2 linked regions of the Arabidopsis thaliana genome follow. The protein of the gene in region 1 interacts with the protein of each later gene in a pairwise test. Each region holds a gene or a part of one and is shown on either strand. Other genes may lie near its edges.

Region 1 (8,525 bases):
AATCTTGCCCGACATCTTCCACTGTCGTGCCAGCCTCTGTGTGTTTTACAGGCATAACCATTCCCTCTGCGATGCAATAACTAACTAGTGTTCCCACATGAACCTCATAGTCTTCAGGATAATGAGCAAAGTAGAGGAAACATTGCTTTACATGGGGAGGCAAGTACTCGTAACTCAAGCACAAAACATCTGCAACTAGCATGTTCTTACTTCCATTGCTACTACCTCCATTTGAAACATATGATTTGATGTTCTCGCATACTCTTTGCCACTCGTTCCATGTACTTTTCGTTGCCAGAAGTCCTCCAAGAACTGTTATAGCTAGAGGTAAACCTCCACACCTTACAACTATCTGCTTCCCAATCTCCTCCATTTTCTTGACCAACATTGGCTCTGCATATCAGGTGAATAAGTGTGTGAAGTATGATAGTATATATGCTGCAGAAAGAATAGAGCCAAATGATTACCTATATTTTCTCTTCCAGATAATGAAATTTTCTCCAACAGCTCCCAACTCTCTTCACATGTTAGCAATTGTGGCTCATGAAGCACACCCCTGGGATCAGCATATAAAGCGACTTCCTTGTTCCGAGTAGTGAGGATTATTTCGCTTCCTACAGTAGATACTACTAGCCTATAAAAATGACAAGGATTATAGAACATTAGTTGTATCTTAACACTACTAGTTTACCTGTTTCATGTGGAAAGACGTGTTTCAGACAATCCCAAGCATCTTTGCCCCAGATATCATCAAGCACAATGAGGCATTTATTCCTTTTCAAGAACCGATGCAACTCCTCTCCAAGTTGTTCATCCCTCAAGCTGAGTATTCTCTGATTTTCATCCTTGTAGCTGAGATTCAGAAAAATGTCTTGCCAAACATGTCTCCGTCTACAGTCTTGAGAAACATATACCCAAGCAAATCTATCGAAATGACGCCTCACTTTATGGTGATGGAAAATCTGTTTGGCTAAAGTTGTTTTCCCCAAACCACCCATTCCGCAGATGGACGTGACTCTTAGTTTCTCACCTCCGGAAACTAAATCATTCACCAACTTCTCTAGACTCTGCTCTAACCCAACAAGATTATGCTCAACAACATATGGAAACGATTGCCTCTGTTCTCTTAGACTATCAGACAAACTCAAACCTTCTCTGCCCATAGATTCTTTTATACCAAAATCTAGCATGCTTGCTGCTATCTTAGAAAGCCTGGAGGTGATCTCTCTAATCTCTGAGCCAACACTATGAAGTGAAACCGCTTCGTTCAAGATGCAAGCAAGCCTCCTAAGCACCCTTTTCATCCCTTTTTGTTTCCTTGATTCTGCTTTGAGGAAAAATGCCTCGAGGATATCCTCTGCATCATAAGAAGCTTCTCTAATGCCTGCAACCCAGTTACGCACTCTCTCGCTTTCATGCTGCTTCTCATCTGCATCTTTCAAAAAGCAATTCAAACGCTTCAATTCGTCTTGCAGCTGCTTCACTTGGTCACCTATACCAAATAAGAACAACGGTTCTTCCAAGAGCAACTGTCCTAGCTTCTGCACTGTAACAGAAACAATAGCCTCTGCCATTTCGTGTTCTAGTGACTCTCCCAAATCTCTACCTCCTACACTAGAAAAGAGTCAACTACGCACTACCTTCATGAAACATGACTCCAAGTCAACGCAATCATAACACTCTTTGTCCCTTTCTGAATTATTCAACTCTCAGCATCATGTGAACATAATTAGATGGTACAGCTACCAAACGACTTCTTGAAATGCTCTTTTGTGCTGGTCCATGAAATACCACATCCACATATTCATTCATCAGAATTTGGTGGGAGACATTCAAAAGTCTTTGCTATCTCCTACAACCACACGTTTTCCCTCTTATCTTTACCTGCAGAAGTTACAATAAGGAAAAATGGTCTCTGCCTTGTGGTTCAACAAATGCAATGCACGAAACCCAATAAGAAAAGAAAAAGGAGGCCAGAAAAAGCATCGAGAGAAACTTCTATTTTTTTTATAACCATGAAACATTGCTGATATACGATACATCAAATTTCAATTTCTTAATTTGTTGATAAGAGGGAGAGACAACATTTAACAGACAGCTTTTATTATATTATCGTAGTCTTTCAAATTGGTCTGCAATAAGAAGAAAAGAACATAAATCTCAAAACTCCCTTGTTGAAACATAGGACGCGTACTAAATGATGAGTATGAACAATATACTATGCCTCCTTTTTTTCCCGCATCCGAAGGTTAGAGAAGATGAGCAGATATACAAAAACGTTCTTACATGTACACCTAAGAACTATTGTAGAGCTTGCACTTATTTGTTCCAGCACAAACAAGACACTCGTCAGCATCACCTTCAACATGGCTCAAGCAATGTTGGATTCTGTCATTTACAACGTCCTGCAGAAAGAAATATTAGTAGATTACTGAAAGATCAAGAGCCAAAAGAAGAACAGATCTCTTGTGAAGATTAAACAGCAGAAGATCCCTAATGCATGAGGATGCTCTCATTGGAAGTTCAAGGGAAAAAAGTGGCATTCACTAATGCATGAGGATGCTCTCACATCCCTTAGGTTTAAAGTGCTCGCTCGTTTTGGGGGGAAAATATGCTTTATAACTTACCAGGAGGAGATTATGGGGGCCGAGAGGTGCAGTTATGAGGTATGAGATGCCAGAGAACTCCTTTGCAGCATCAGCCGTCAACGAGGGAATGTCCTGAATCAAATAAGGGTCATGATCTCACTAGGCCATTAATGTACATCCTCCAATAATCCCATAAATAAGAAAAGCTAGAAGCTTCAAGAAAACAAAACAAATTGAGATGAACAAAGCCATACCGTATGCCAATGTCTTCCAGGAAATAGAAAAAACGGGCTCACAACTACACGTTTCGCCCCTTGTTGTACACACAAACTGAATGCATCTTTTATAGATGGCTCAGCCAATTCCTGATGTAAAGTGTAAAAATCAGCAAACAGCAAGCAGAGCTTGAAAGTCATCTAATTTCCTGATATAGAACATATTAAGCTAAATGCAAAAGATGACCAAGAAACGGAAATCAGACTGTATCAAACTCATGGGTATGGTTCTCACTATGCATAAAGGTGAGAACATTAGAAAGAGTTACCATATGAGCAGGCTCTACAATTGGGTAACCAGTTTTTTCTTTGAACATTTTCACAAACTCCTCTGAAATACAGAAACAACAACACAATTACATAAACTCGCACAAGGTAAAGCCGTAAAGGAAGTATACTATACAATAAAGTAAGGACAACAAAGAAAATGAAGAAGGAGAAGGAAGAGAAACAAAGCTATTACCAAGCATAAGATTGGATTCACGGCGACGAGAACCGTGATCAACAATTATAATCCCATCAGCATCACCAATCCCATTTTTGACCAACCCTTCGCTCTCCCCAAAACATGGTGATCCTCTTCTCCTCCTTCCTCGTTGGAGTTGAAATTTCTCAACTTTAAAGGAAACTGGTAATGCCCATGAGCGATTTGTTCGTGTAATTTGACAAGAAGAAGGTGAAACACGATTATTCGCTCTGAGATTACTACAAAAACAAATCGACAAAAAAAAAATCATTCAGAAGAAAGCAACACAACAGAAGAAAGCGATAGAAGGGGTATAGAGGAAAGGAAGATGAACCTTTGGGAGGCGAGGCCTCCGTAAGAGAGGTTCACTAAGAACTGCGACTGAGTCGTCATCTTCGCCGCCAATTGACTGTTAATTTTTTTTTTTTTTTGCCGGCATTGACTGTTAAATTAATTTGTCGGAACGGACTCGATCCCGAAAAATTGAAATCGGGAGAGTGAAGAAAAACATTCATTAATATCTCACCGAACCGGTCGGTCGGACCAGTCAACCCGGGACCCGATTATTATTTCAGGCCGGCTTTGTTTGTTTTTTTAAAATTAAAAGGGGCTTTATCATTAATGGGCCATCCCACAATTGGGCTTTTGACCGAGAACATACAACCAAATAACACGTACAAAAGAACCACTCCTTTTTACATGATGGAGAACACAATAATGTGATAAAATTATGACAGTTCACTGCATGTGACTCTAGTGTGTGACCTCTTAGATGTTTGGATTAAAACCAGAGATTTTTTTTTTTATCGACTTTTTTCAATTAATCAAGTCAAGAGTGATTACAATGTAAGGCTGATACAATGAAAGGTGGAACATAATAGTGATATTGAAACGAACAATTATCTGGTAGCCGATGTTTTGCAAGAAGATCCGCTGGTCCATTGTTTGTTCTTGACACCCATGTGACATCTGCTGCCTCAAATCGTTGTCGCCATTTCATAGCGTCTCTTGTCCAGTTGCAGCAGCCAAAGTTGATCTTTTTGTTGTTCATTAGCTCTACGACTGTAAAAATTAAAATTAAAACCAGAGATTTCTCTCAAAATATCCATTGAAATTCAAATAGAGGATGAAGCCTGAAAATGTCCAATTTTCTTATTAAACAACTAAATGGCTCACTAATTTTTCTATATGTTAATTTAGTTCCAAATATTTAGTACCAAAAATGATGCTACTGATAAAAATAGTTAGAAGTTTTATTTTAAAATAGTACTATGTGAGAATCCGTTCTAGACAATAAATTTATCACTTTAATTTTATAAATAGTTTGATTTGTATAAATATTATATAGTGGTTGTACTTTGTTTCATAATATGTTTTAAACATATCTTGGGATATTATAATTGATTTGTTATTTGAGTGGCCAATCTTTCAATTGTTAGTCCAATGGTGCAAATAGTTGTCTCAAACTAAGAAGTTGAAAGAGTTGAAAAATCATTCATATCATTTTTTACCATTGAGATGAATAAGTTGGAAAAATCATTCAACCAAAATTTTTGGAAAATAAACTAATTACAAAGGAAATTTGTTCAACTTAATTATCTACTATTTCGTAGAGGAATGAGTTGAATAATGTTCAATTTTTTTATTATTCAATTCAAAATTTTCCTATCGTTACAACCCTTTGCAGTTGAAGTGTGTAATTGTTACTCAAACCAGACACAAGTATCTACCATATATCTTGCCTGAGTAGATCTTTGTTGATGACTAGGTTCAATTTTGAATGTCACATTTTATTATGTTATGCCCAATCCAAATTTCTCATAAAGATAAAACAAAGTTTAGATTCTCAGATTACAAGAGAGAGATAAAATAAAATTTGTAAGTTTAAACCAAAACTTAATGAAATCTTTAAATTTTCTAATACCAAAAACACATGTAAACTAACCATTGAGACAAATATATATACCCTTGTAGGTTTGACAACAATTCTTCGCGAGTTCGAGATCTCTGCGAGTGATACCGCTTGGTCGATCCATAAAGTTATTGAGAACCAAATCATCATCTAGTTTGATGAAATCTTCCACTTGTTAGTGACATTCATTGTATTAGGATCAAGCCAAACTAAACCAAATTCTAAAATTTGATGTCCCTCGAACTCCAACAGAATGAAAGTAATCTGGTTTATGCTCATTGTTTTAGATCTAAGCACAAATAGCAACAAACCCAAAAGTAATGAAGGCCAGAGGTGAGTTTATTAATAATGTTTTGTATTATTAAAATTAAACTCTTCAATTTGCGAAAAAATCTATAATACAACATGACAAATTTAAATATTGAAAATCAACTTAAAATTTGTTATTATCTATATGCATATTTCACTAAAGTTAAATCTAAGATAATAGATTTACGGTAATTGTGAACGTGATTTAGCAGTTATACAACATCCAAATAGATTAGGTGAATAAAAGAAGTAAGTACAATTGTAAATTGAAGTTTCACTTTTAAATAATTTGATAAATTAGTGATTACTATGAATTAATAAATTTTTCGGTCTCAAGTTGTCGAGTGTAATATTTAACATAAAATAATAATTTGTTTGAAAATTCTATGTAACTATATGGTCCATCAGTATCATAAATTAATAATTGTATAAACTTATCAATATATATTATTAATTTATAGAAGTTTTACTTTTATTTGACGAAATTCATTTGATTTTGGTCTTTTGAAATAAAATATAGGAAATCGTGAAAGAGACAATCCAGCTTAGTTGTATTGAATTTGCGATGAGTTGATTTCTCGTCATTGGTAATCTTTTACTATTTTAGTATTTTTACGGTTTTAGATGGATTAAAACTTTAATCACTTTATTATTATCGTGAGATTTCATATTTTGTAAAACATGATAATGATTATTTTTAGTTTTACATTTATAAAACTATGTAATCTCTATAAATATTAAATACATTACATAAATTTTAATCAGTTAATCTGTAGTCGAATCCAGAGTTAATGACCCAATAAGTAGTCCGTTTCAGTGTCCATATCATGTTTAAAACCATTACAGAAACTAACTGCTAAGCTAGCATTACATCTTGTTTCAGCTAGCAACATTACATCAAGTAACCATTACAGAAACCATACAATAGTAGTGGTAGTAACTCTTAGCAAAAAAAGATGGTTTACATAGGCTGCTGACCCAAAATAAGATTTGGTAGGCTTAAAGGTCGTGCCTAGATTTTTAATGGGCCCATTTGAAAGTGAAAACAAGATGGGCTAAAAGGTAAGACGCCAAAGCCTAGAGTTCGAAACCTACGACAATCGGTCTCTCTCTCTCTCTCGCGAGTCGCGAGTCGCGAGTTTCTCTCATCTTCTTCTTCCTCCAAGTCTGAACATATTAACATGGAATGAGCAAAACTAATATTGTCCGTATCTGTTAGCTTAAATTAGGTAACGAATCACGAGAATACCTAGAAATTCTTTCTTAATTTTACTTGAATTAGGTGTTTTCATGGAGATTCATTATGCAGCTAAGGTTCATTTTTTGTCATTGATAAACACAGATTTCTGAAATTGGGACTTTTTGGGAAATGGTTTCCTGAAACTGTGACAGCTAGTTCTAGAATCCATGTTGTTCTAGATTGTTGTTGTTTCTTCTTGAGTTTACTCTAGAGCTTCTAGAATCCATCTAGGCATTGGTTTTGGTATTTGTCTTATGCCGTGTATTCTTTCTTTTTTTCTAGATTGTTTTTAATTAAAGAATCTTTTTTGGTTTGCAGTGATCTTGGACGTTGGAACTGAGGAAAGAAACTTGCAATGTATACAAGGACAATAAGAAGGAACCAGAGATGGGGTTTTGTATTGCAGCAAGACAAATGCTTAGTTAGGCCAGTGATTCGTGACCACACCGGTTCCCAATCTTATAGATCCACCACAAGTATACTAACAGATCATTTGAGAAGAAACCATCATTCTCATGGTGCTATTGCCTCTAGAGATTATTTAAGTTATTCTTGGAATAGCCAATTGCGTCGGTTTAGTTCTGAAGGTGATGGAAATAATGCTAGTGAGGACAGCCGTTTCCCTCTGAATAAAGACAAGATGGGAAAAGAGAAGAGCACGGTCGGTGTTGAGCATTTTGATTCTCACGCTCAACTTGGAGTACAAGACCAAATAGAATGGCTCAACAATGAGAAGCGTGCAAGTGAAAGCAGAAAGGAGTCACCTTTTCTTAATAAACGAGAAAGATTGAAGAATGAGTTCTTGCGGAGAATTCAACCTTGGGAAACTATACAGCTCTCTTGGGAGTCTTTCCCTTACTACGTCCAGTAATAACCAAAGACTGTTCCCTTCTGTTATCGTGTTACTTTCTTCTAGTCATTTCCATTTTTTGCTGATATGTTCTGATTTGCTCCAGCGAACACACAAAAGATACTCTGGTGGAATGTGTTAGCTCACATATTAAGCAAAAAAGTATGACTTCCAAATATGGTGCTCGTTTAGATTCTTCAAGTGGGAGAATATTGCTCCAGAGTGTTCCAGGTTTTTTGTTGACTAGAATATGCATTGCATTGTTTTAATGTCGTTGTTTTTTTATATCAAACTATATAAGTGGTGAGGAAATAGAGTCTAATAATGATCTGATTATACAGGCACTGAGCTCTACCGAGAGAGGTTGGTGCGAGCACTTGCTCGAGATACACAAGTTCCCCTGTTGGTTCTTGACAGCAGCGTTCTTGCACCTTACGTGAGATTTTGATGTTTATTTGCTATGACATGCTACCATTTTTCTTTCTGTTTCATGAATGTTAGAGTGATATTTGTTGATTCTGATCAGGATTTTGCTGATGATTACAATGAAGAGTCTGAATCAGATGACGACATTGCAGAATCAGACCAGTGCACGTCACAGTCAGAAGCTGAAGAAGAAACCGATGGGGACAATGATGATACTAGTAGTAGTGAAACAAAAATAGAAGGAACTGACGACGAAGAAAGATATTTGGAGATTTCTAAGGAAGTCCTCAAGAAACTTGGGGCCGACATAGAGGATATCGAGAAGGTATGATTTTCTTATGTGAGGTTCATTAATTAATCTGCCATGATAATCTTTTTCCCTTTCCTATGGACAATGTGAATTTTGTAACCTTTGTTATATATATATATATATATATATTTTATTTTTTTTCCATTTTC
Region 2 (9,011 bases), on another chromosome or scaffold:
TTCTGAAACTATGCATTGAACTCTCAACAAGAACCACATCTATCTATCAAAAAGTGTTATTTTTGCAAGATTTCAATCAATCAGGCCTCACAAGAGCTTCTCAAATAGGGTATATTCCTATGTGAGCAATATCAGGAAAACTAGGAAACAGAACAAAATCGATGGCAGTGACATAAGAAGAGAGTAAGAATACCGGGACTCTGTCAGAATACTTCTCTCTGATCCTTAAAGCCTCAGCTTTCCTCTTCTCTGCAATATAAATCAATCATCAACCAATCATACTAACTTAAATTACTGGAAAAAAGAAGAAGAAGATTTATATACCGAAATCATGATCCTGCCTGAAGCTGACGTTACTCATCTTCTTTTGATTCCTGAATATATATAACAAATTTCCAGAATCACCAACCCAAATAAGAAGAAAAGAAAAACGATAATTTACCAAATCCCAACACAAAACCCTAATTTTTCTACTACCCAAGTCGTAATACACTTATCTCTGTATATTCTTGTAGAAATCAAACATAAATTATATGCATAAACGAAATCAAATCGGAGAAAACTTACCTCTCTGGATTATGCGACTTGGTTAAGATCAAAAACTTTGGATTCGACTTTGTGTGATTCAATTAATCTTCGACTGCGATCGTCACAGTTATATGTGTATATATACAATTCGTGTAACCTTTTCCTTTTTTGTTTACCGAAAGATTATCGAATTAGTGAATGACACGTCAGCTGATAATTTAATTTAATCAATGCAAACCAAAAATCGAGGTAAATTAGCATGATTTAAGGAAATGTTTAAGTGATGTTGTTACCAAATACAATTGTAGTGGTTATTTATGCACTAAGGCCCATAACTAGTTAATAATAACTCATTACTCTATGAAGCCCATTATAAGTCTTCCGTATATTTGTTTTCATAGAAGATAAGAAACCCAGCCCAACGTTTTTTTTTTTTTTGGTGGTTCAGCTGAGATCAAACCAGCAGGACATATCTAAACCAGAAGTTTTTTCTGTATTAAAAGGTCAATAACTAAAGTTTAAGGACAAAAAATCTACATTGTTGAATGTTGATCATTCAAATTTGTAAGATCGTATACTTAAAATATAGTTTTAAGAGATTGTATATCATAATCCTTGACTTCAAATCAACGATGGATCAAAACTAGCTTTTTTTTATTGAACTTTTAATAGTCAACAGAATTGAAAACTGATTTATGATAGTCATTAAGATTCTAGCACAATATCCACACTAGTTCCAGGCTCGTAGCTTACGTAACGTAACCTATATGGTTATCATATACTTTTGAGGAACTCTCCCAGTAATTAAGTCATTGAAAACCAGTAGTGCCATGCGGCGGTAGGACTTTTTCGTCTAATTGTTTTTTGTAGGTTAACAATGGTTCAAACACTAATAATTTATATAGTTTCACCAAACAATTAAAGATAATACTACATGGTTGTGTTGGTTGTTGTATTGACAAATTATAAGTTCATACAATCTATCACTATCTTTACTTTTTCTTTTGTTTCCGCCGTCACTGTATCTATCCGCTAAGCGAGACAAATTTTTATCGTTTGTGTTGTAATGTGTCTCCTAAATATATAGTTGATCTAATTAATAATATATAAACCAACCAAAATGTGACATGCTTTGTTATGAATAAGAAAAAGTTACATTGTCCTTGTTTAGTGTTTGTGATTTGATTAAGATATTATGATATGACATGATTCACATAAGTTAACCCCACTAGCATTCCTGAACATAAAAATTGAAAACTTTAAATAAAGAGAAAACAGAAAGCTTTGCCCGTGAGTCGAGGTTAGCAAAGGAGACTATATACCGTCTATTTTGAGGACTTTAAGTTTATTTTGGGAAATTAGCAAATCTAAAAACATAGTGGAAGTGAATTGCAAATATGACATTTGACATAAACTGAGATAATTTGGTTACAGGGTTAATATATTTCTACATCGAAGTTAATTTTTTTACTTGTTTTATATCACTGTAACCAAATTACATGAATTTCCGTGAAACCGAATCACGAGTATGTATGCAAGGTAACACACGGTCGATGTGTCCCTCCACTAGCCAGTCATCAACCTATAGAATGTATAGAATGAGTTGATTAAATTACGCAAATTGGTCATTTTTTAATCCTAAAATATAACAACAAAGCAGAAAGAAATACTAGTTTAATAGAATACATGTTGTTAGACATATTACAAGGTGGTGGAAATTCACATGGAGGTTTCTTGTTTGTCTTGGAGGAAAAAAAACATGTCTCCCATTATTACAATGTCCAATTACAAAGATTTTTGTTTTTATATTATTTTGGCTTAAAAAATAGAAATATGTTTAGGGCAATCACATAAGCCATGTCTCCCTTCCATTCACACACAAACTACCAAAAGTTCCAACTTGTCTTCGCAATCCAGCTCCACCTCTTTTCTTTTTAATCTCCTTTTGGTATCCTCTATTCTATTACCGCCACCAATAAACGGCCACTTAAGTATTTCAAGTTTGTCAAAGAAGTGAAAAAAAGAAGAAGAAATGATATAGATGATTTTAGAAAAGAATGGTGGAATAAAACGATTTGATTATCGCAAACACGTGTAAACATCAACTAACATAGGCTAAAGATTTGTCATAATTTTAGTTTTGACCGTGTCTACTTGTCGTTCAAAATTAAACTTGATTAGCAAATGCAAGATTTTATAGTCAATATGTCATTTATTAGTTAGTTTATAAAAAATCTAGACTAGAGCCATGAGATCTTCTCCAGAGTTCATGCAATTTCAACCGTTAGATAAAAAAAAAAAACAGAGTGTGTTAATAGAAAGCAAGGGTAATTATGGAAAACAATGATTAACAATAAAGCCATCTGTATCAAATTCGCTTTTTGCTCTGAAACCTCGGTATATGTTTTTGATTTTTTTAATAGTACTGTCTTTCAGATTGATCGTTATCTAACGCGCCTCAACAGTTCTGGACTATTGAATTACTTACTGTAAGACAATCAACTAATAACTGACTCTTTTAGGTTTTTGGGTTTCGACAATTCAATTTATTTTCTTTCTTTTCTTCATACTCCTATTACTTATTTAGTTTGATCTAATGAATTATACACTATATGATCCCATATTCTTAATAAATAAGTAAATAATTTTGACTATTTTAAGTATTTTTACGATTTCGCTCTCAAAATGTTTTTTACCTGTAATTTCAAAAATAAATTTGACACATCCTTTTTTTTTTGTCAAACATTTGACACATCCTTTAAGTAAACAAATCTATTGGTTTGAAGAAAAAAGAACAAAAATCTTTTGGTTCATTTTCATTTGACCCTTGACTTAGTTTTTATACATATATAATGAAGTATATTTTTACTATCATACTATTTAATATAAAACATGTTACTGCACATATATATTAAATCACCCAATTGCTATTTCACTAAATAACAAATTATTTTACAAGATGCAAGTTTATTTTATAAATCGAACAAAATTTACGAAAAATGTAGAATAGTAATTTTGTCGATATGCATAAAATTTATTGGTTTCCTTGTTTTTTTTTTCCTCAATCCAGTGTTTTCCTTATTTATTATGTTGTCATCATAGTAATTTAGTCAATTTATGATTAAGGCTAAATTTATTCGATTAATGACACTTTGATTTCGATTTTCATGGCTTAAACTTATATAATCAATGATCTCTTGGAGAGTAAGAGTGACGCGCCGTAAGTGCGAGTAGGGTTAGAAACGAGGGGATATAAAATGAGTACAGATGTAGATAAGTAAATCTACAGACACAAGGCACCACACACACAGCAAAAACCAAATCCTTTACTTAAAAAAAAAAAAAAGAGAGCATTTTTTATGAAGATCATCACTTTGGAATGTTGTTGGAATCATCCAGAGTCAATATACATAAGCAACGAGAAGAAAGATTGTTATTAATACCGAGTGTGAGATAATGTGGGCGCCAATTTCAGTTTCAAGCTTTCATCTTCGTCTTCCTCTTTAAGTTCTGAGATCTAGGGTTTTTCTGGGTTTCTTTGTTCTCACTCTTAAATTCTCTTTCTGACTCTGTAAGATTGGTCATGCCCCTGCCCTTTGAGCAATTTCAAGGGAAGGGGGTTCTGGGTTTCTTAGATTCTTCTTCTTCTCCGGGATACAAAATCTGGGCTAATCCAGAGAAGCTCCATGGACGAGTAGAAGAAGATCTCTGCTTTGTTGTCAACAATGGTGGTTTCTCGGAGCCGACGTCTGTTTTAGACTCTGTTAGAAGTCCAAGCCCTTTCGTCTCTTCTTCAACCACCACGCTGTCTTCTTCTCACGGTGGTCCCAGCGGCGGCGGCGCTGCTGCTGCTACTTTTTCCGGCGCCGATGGGAAATGCGACCAAATGGGTTTCGAGGATCTCGATGGTGTTCTCTCCGGTGGCTCGCCGGGACAAGAACAGAGTATTTTTAGATTAATCATGGCTGGCGATGTAGTGGATCCGGGTTCGGAGTTTGTGGGTTTCGACATCGGTTCTGGATCCGACCCGGTTATTGATAATCCTAATCCACTCTTTGGATATGGCTTCCCTTTTCAAAACGCACCGGAAGAAGAAAAGTTTCAGATTTCAATAAACCCAAATCCGGGTTTCTTCTCGGATCCTCCGTCGTCTCCTCCTGCGAAACGGCTCAATTCGGGTCAACCCGGATCTCAACACCTCCAGTGGGTTTTCCCGTTCTCGGATCCGGGTCACGAATCTCACGACCCGTTTCTCACACCGCCAAAGATAGCCGGAGAAGACCAAAACGACCAAGACCAGTCAGCGGTAATCATCGACCAGCTATTCTCTGCGGCGGCGGAGCTCACCACAAACGGCGGAGATAACAATCCCGTTCTCGCGCAAGGGATATTGGCGCGGCTCAATCACAACCTTAACAACAACAACGACGACACTAACAACAATCCTAAACCTCCGTTCCACAGAGCAGCTTCGTATATAACAGAAGCTCTTCACTCTCTCCTTCAAGACTCATCATTATCACCACCGTCTCTCTCACCTCCTCAAAACCTAATCTTTCGGATCGCAGCTTACAGAGCTTTCTCAGAAACGTCACCGTTTCTTCAATTCGTCAACTTCACAGCAAACCAAACGATTCTCGAGTCATTCGAAGGGTTTGATCGGATCCACATTGTCGATTTCGATATCGGTTATGGAGGTCAATGGGCGTCTCTGATTCAAGAGCTCGCCGGAAAAAGAAACAGATCTTCATCAGCTCCGTCGCTAAAGATTACAGCTTTCGCTTCTCCTTCAACTGTCTCCGACGAATTCGAGCTCCGATTCACTGAAGAAAATCTCAGAAGCTTCGCCGGCGAAACAGGTGTCTCCTTCGAAATCGAGCTCTTAAACATGGAGATTCTCTTGAATCCAACTTATTGGCCACTGTCTTTATTCCGATCATCGGAGAAAGAAGCAATCGCTGTGAATCTCCCAATCAGCTCCATGGTCTCCGGTTACCTCCCATTGATACTTCGTTTCCTCAAGCAAATCTCACCAAACGTCGTCGTTTGCTCAGACAGAAGCTGCGACCGTAACAACGACGCGCCGTTCCCTAACGGTGTGATTAACGCGCTTCAGTACTACACATCTCTGCTCGAGTCTCTCGACTCTGGGAATCTGAATAATGCGGAAGCTGCTACGAGTATTGAGAGGTTTTGTGTGCAACCGTCGATACAGAAACTGTTGACGAATCGTTACCGTTGGATGGAGAGATCACCGCCGTGGAGAAGCTTATTTGGGCAATGTGGGTTTACTCCTGTGACGCTGAGTCAGACGGCGGAGACACAAGCGGAGTATTTGTTGCAGAGGAATCCAATGAGAGGGTTTCACTTGGAGAAGAGACAGTCTTCGTCGCCTTCACTTGTCTTGTGTTGGCAGAGGAAAGAACTTGTTACTGTCTCAGCTTGGAAATGTTAAGACGAAAAAGGAGGATATTTTCACGGTTTAATTTTCTTTTTGTAGCTTTTCAATTTGGGTTAGATCACGTTTTAATATGTTTGATTGTGATGTTAACCAATCAAATGATATATATATAATCTCCTTATGTTAGTCTTTCTTTTTTTTCCTTTTTATATTTCTGCATACTGAGATATGGATCCTTTAATACTTCATTTTTTAAGAGACAGAAGATTTGACATGTAATATGTTATAGGTACTAAAGATTAAGAGGTTTCTCAAAAAAAAAAAAAAAAAACTAAAACTTAAGCTGCCTTACACAAATTTCATTTTTCTCTTGGAAGGTCGACTATACTAAATTCGTAGTTCTTTATTCAAATACTAAGCATAGTAGTAATCCTTAACCTTAATCTAACAAACGAACACTGATAAATAAGAGATTTGTGGAGAAAGCTCTAAACCAATGCAAAAAAACTCAATCAGATCCTCAAAATGTCTTGGAATTCGAACGTGTAACCAAGAGGGTAACCAGGAGGGTCTTTGGCAGTAGCAGCGTTTATAAGTTTAGTCTTGCATTTTGGAAGTTTTTCCATGAAGATAGTAATTCCACAAGCTCTTAATAACCGGATCGGTCTTTTGAAATCGATGTCCCCCGTGATGACCATGATGTTGCAAGGAGTTTGGAAATTGGATGTGATGATATTGGCTTGTGCTGGCAAATCATCCGGCGATGTCGTGTTTACTCTCATACCTAACTTTAAAAACAAAACAAAAAGATGTAAATGATTATTGTATGCGTTTGTGAAAGTGAATCAACATAATCTTAAACAGTGGAGAAAGCTCATCAAAATAGAGTTCAAAACCACAACAGTAAATAAACATCATTTATAAATCATATTTGTACAACGATCCCGACTAACAATTTCATACACCTTAACACACAGAGCAGGCAAATAAAATATCAAACCTAAATTTCAATTACTTGTACGGGTCAAAACAGGTCACAAATACTAATTAGCAAGTATTTGCCTTGTAACGAGTCCTACACATATTTACGAAGCAAAAACTGTCATTTTTACTCACAGTGTCCCCATATAAAAATGTGGAGGTGAGTGTACCTCAAACAATTGTTTTGTGTTCTCTATATCCCACAGTACATGGAAACATAGTTTTCTAAAAATTATTATTAAAAAAATGATATTTCAGGGAATAATTTTCTTTTTAGCTTTTTAATTTAGATAATATCATGTTTTAATATGTTTGAGTGTAATGTTAACCAATCAGATAATATATATATAATTTCCTTATGTTATTCTTACTTTTTCCTTTTTTATTTTTCTGCATATTGAAATATGTTTCCTTTACCTTTATTATGGAGTATATTTTATCATTTTCCTTGAAATGTTTGTTAGAGACATACAATTTACCATGTGTTAATTAGGTCTACTAAAAATTTAAGCTAATGGTAAACAAACTTCATATTACTAAACTATGTATTAACTTGTGTTTTGGGGTTAATGTTGTAAACGATGAGATAACTTGTGTTTAAAGACTTTTTACCTTTTTAGTATAGTAAAGAGATTGCGTAATACGAGTTTTGTCCGTGTAATCAATCACATGGTCCTCGCAGAATTGCTGCTTAGATTTGATATTATCATAATACGACCACTTTATTACTTATTAATCAACCACTTTAGTAAGATTCTGCAGTGAAATTGTGAAAGTATAACATTTGTTTATTGTATTGGATAACAAAATCCACCCATGTCTTTCCTCTTCCCAATCATTTCTTAATTTTCGCCTCTTTATTAGTATCATTGATATTTGATTATTCATTTACATAGTTTCCTTTTTTCATTTCAGATTTTTTTTATAATTGCACTCTAAAAAGTCTGCTTGGGAACAACGCTTTCATTAACATCCCCACATGATTTTAGGCCTTTTTCCTTTAATCCATTATCTGGAAAACAGGAGGAAATTATTTTGGAAAGTAAATCAAGAATGAATCTCTAAATCAATTACCAAACGCCGCCGTTCCATTACCGGTCAGGCAAGACAGACCAACGGTCCGAGAATTCGCCTAACGAACCAGTTTACTCGCATTTAACCAAAAATTGCATACCGGTTCAATCAAACAACAGAACAGACCAATCTCAGAAAATCTGCAGCCATTTCACCATCATTGCTATATGTTGCTTTGAACTTCACTCTTGCGAGGGGAAAACTTTGTCAGTTTCTTCTTGAAGCTATATGTTTTCTTGGGATACAGCAATACAATCAAACTCCATGAAGTCTTACGAACGAGTAGGCTAATGCACCAGTGAAAATGTAACTATCAACTCTGTCCAATATGCCACCTGCAATTACAGAGGACTCGGTTAGAGAGGCAATGATAGACAAATTCCGGTCTGGTTTGACGTGTCATTACCGTGTCCAGGGATGAGTGAGCCGGAGTCTTTGACACCCGCATCACGTTTGATCATTGACTCAGTTAAGTCACCAAAGACCGATCCGAAGAAGTTAAGAACTCCAAAAGCTATGGTGCTGTTTAAATCGAACCAGTCAGAATAAAGACATAATAGACTCCAGGAATTCTATAGGATTTGAGTACCTGACAAGAGATTGAGGCCAGGACAACGATTTGGAGAGTAAAATGGTAATGGAAATACAACCAACAAGTCCTGCAAAAGCTCCTTCCCATGTCTTCTTTGGACTAATGCTAATAAGAGGAGTTCTACCAAATGCCTGCAACATTAGTTGATTAACTTCAGCCAGGAGAAGTTCTTGCGAGACTATATGCATGCCCTGAAAAGATACATACCTTGCCACCAAGAAAAGCAAACGTGTCTGAGGCAATTATACCACAGAAAGAAATCAATATAGCAACAAGTCCAACTGTCCAATGTGCTTGGCCGCCGAGGATAGTAGGCCAGCTTCTCCCAATTCCTATAAGTAATTAAACTGCTCAGGAGACTTGGCTTTGATTACTTTACGGATCAAAGCTAGGAAAGATAATAATAAGGGAGTGCTTGCCGGTGTTTAGAACTGG

What was found. Proteins that work in one complex are often made in the same cells at the same time.
Region 2: the proteins of SIRB (region 1) and HAM2 interact in a two-hybrid assay, tested with the Arabidopsis thaliana proteins (2 studies listed by BioGRID).

Annotation. Positions count from the first base shown.
Region 1 is NC_003070.9:18,577,284-18,585,808, reverse strand, and holds SIRB (sirohydrochlorin ferrochelatase B), read right to left. Parts: upstream 3,812-8,525; 5' UTR 3,723-3,811; coding exon 3,664-3,722; exon of another isoform or gene 3,601-3,663; coding exon of another isoform or gene 3,569-3,600; coding exon 3,327-3,568; intron 3,195-3,326; coding exon 3,133-3,194; intron 2,954-3,132; coding exon 2,843-2,953; intron 2,721-2,842; coding exon 2,628-2,720; coding exon of another isoform or gene 2,547-2,627; exon of another isoform or gene 2,406-2,546; coding exon 2,295-2,405; 3' UTR 1,977-2,294; downstream 1-1,976. Other genes in the region: AT1G50180 (NB-ARC domain-containing disease resistance protein), read right to left, coding at 1-393, 468-614, 692-1,574; AT1G50160 (ribonuclease H superfamily polynucleotidyl transferase), read right to left, coding at 4,159-4,380; AT1G50140 (P-loop containing nucleoside triphosphate hydrolases superfamily protein), read left to right, coding at 7,146-7,657, 7,747-7,871, 7,982-8,076, 8,167-8,391. UniProt on the Arabidopsis thaliana protein: Chelates iron to the siroheme precursor. Catalyzes the last step of the siroheme biosynthesis.
Region 2 is NC_003074.8:22,407,468-22,416,478, reverse strand, and holds HAM2 (GRAS family transcription factor), read left to right. Parts: upstream 1-3,815; 5' UTR 3,816-4,111; coding exon 4,112-5,983; 3' UTR 5,984-6,239; downstream 6,240-9,011. Other genes in the region: ATG8G (Ubiquitin-like superfamily protein), read right to left, coding at 194-249, 325-361; CDS5 (cytidinediphosphate diacylglycerol synthase 5), read right to left, coding at 8,240-8,319, 8,391-8,506, 8,574-8,707, 8,784-8,908, 8,996-9,011.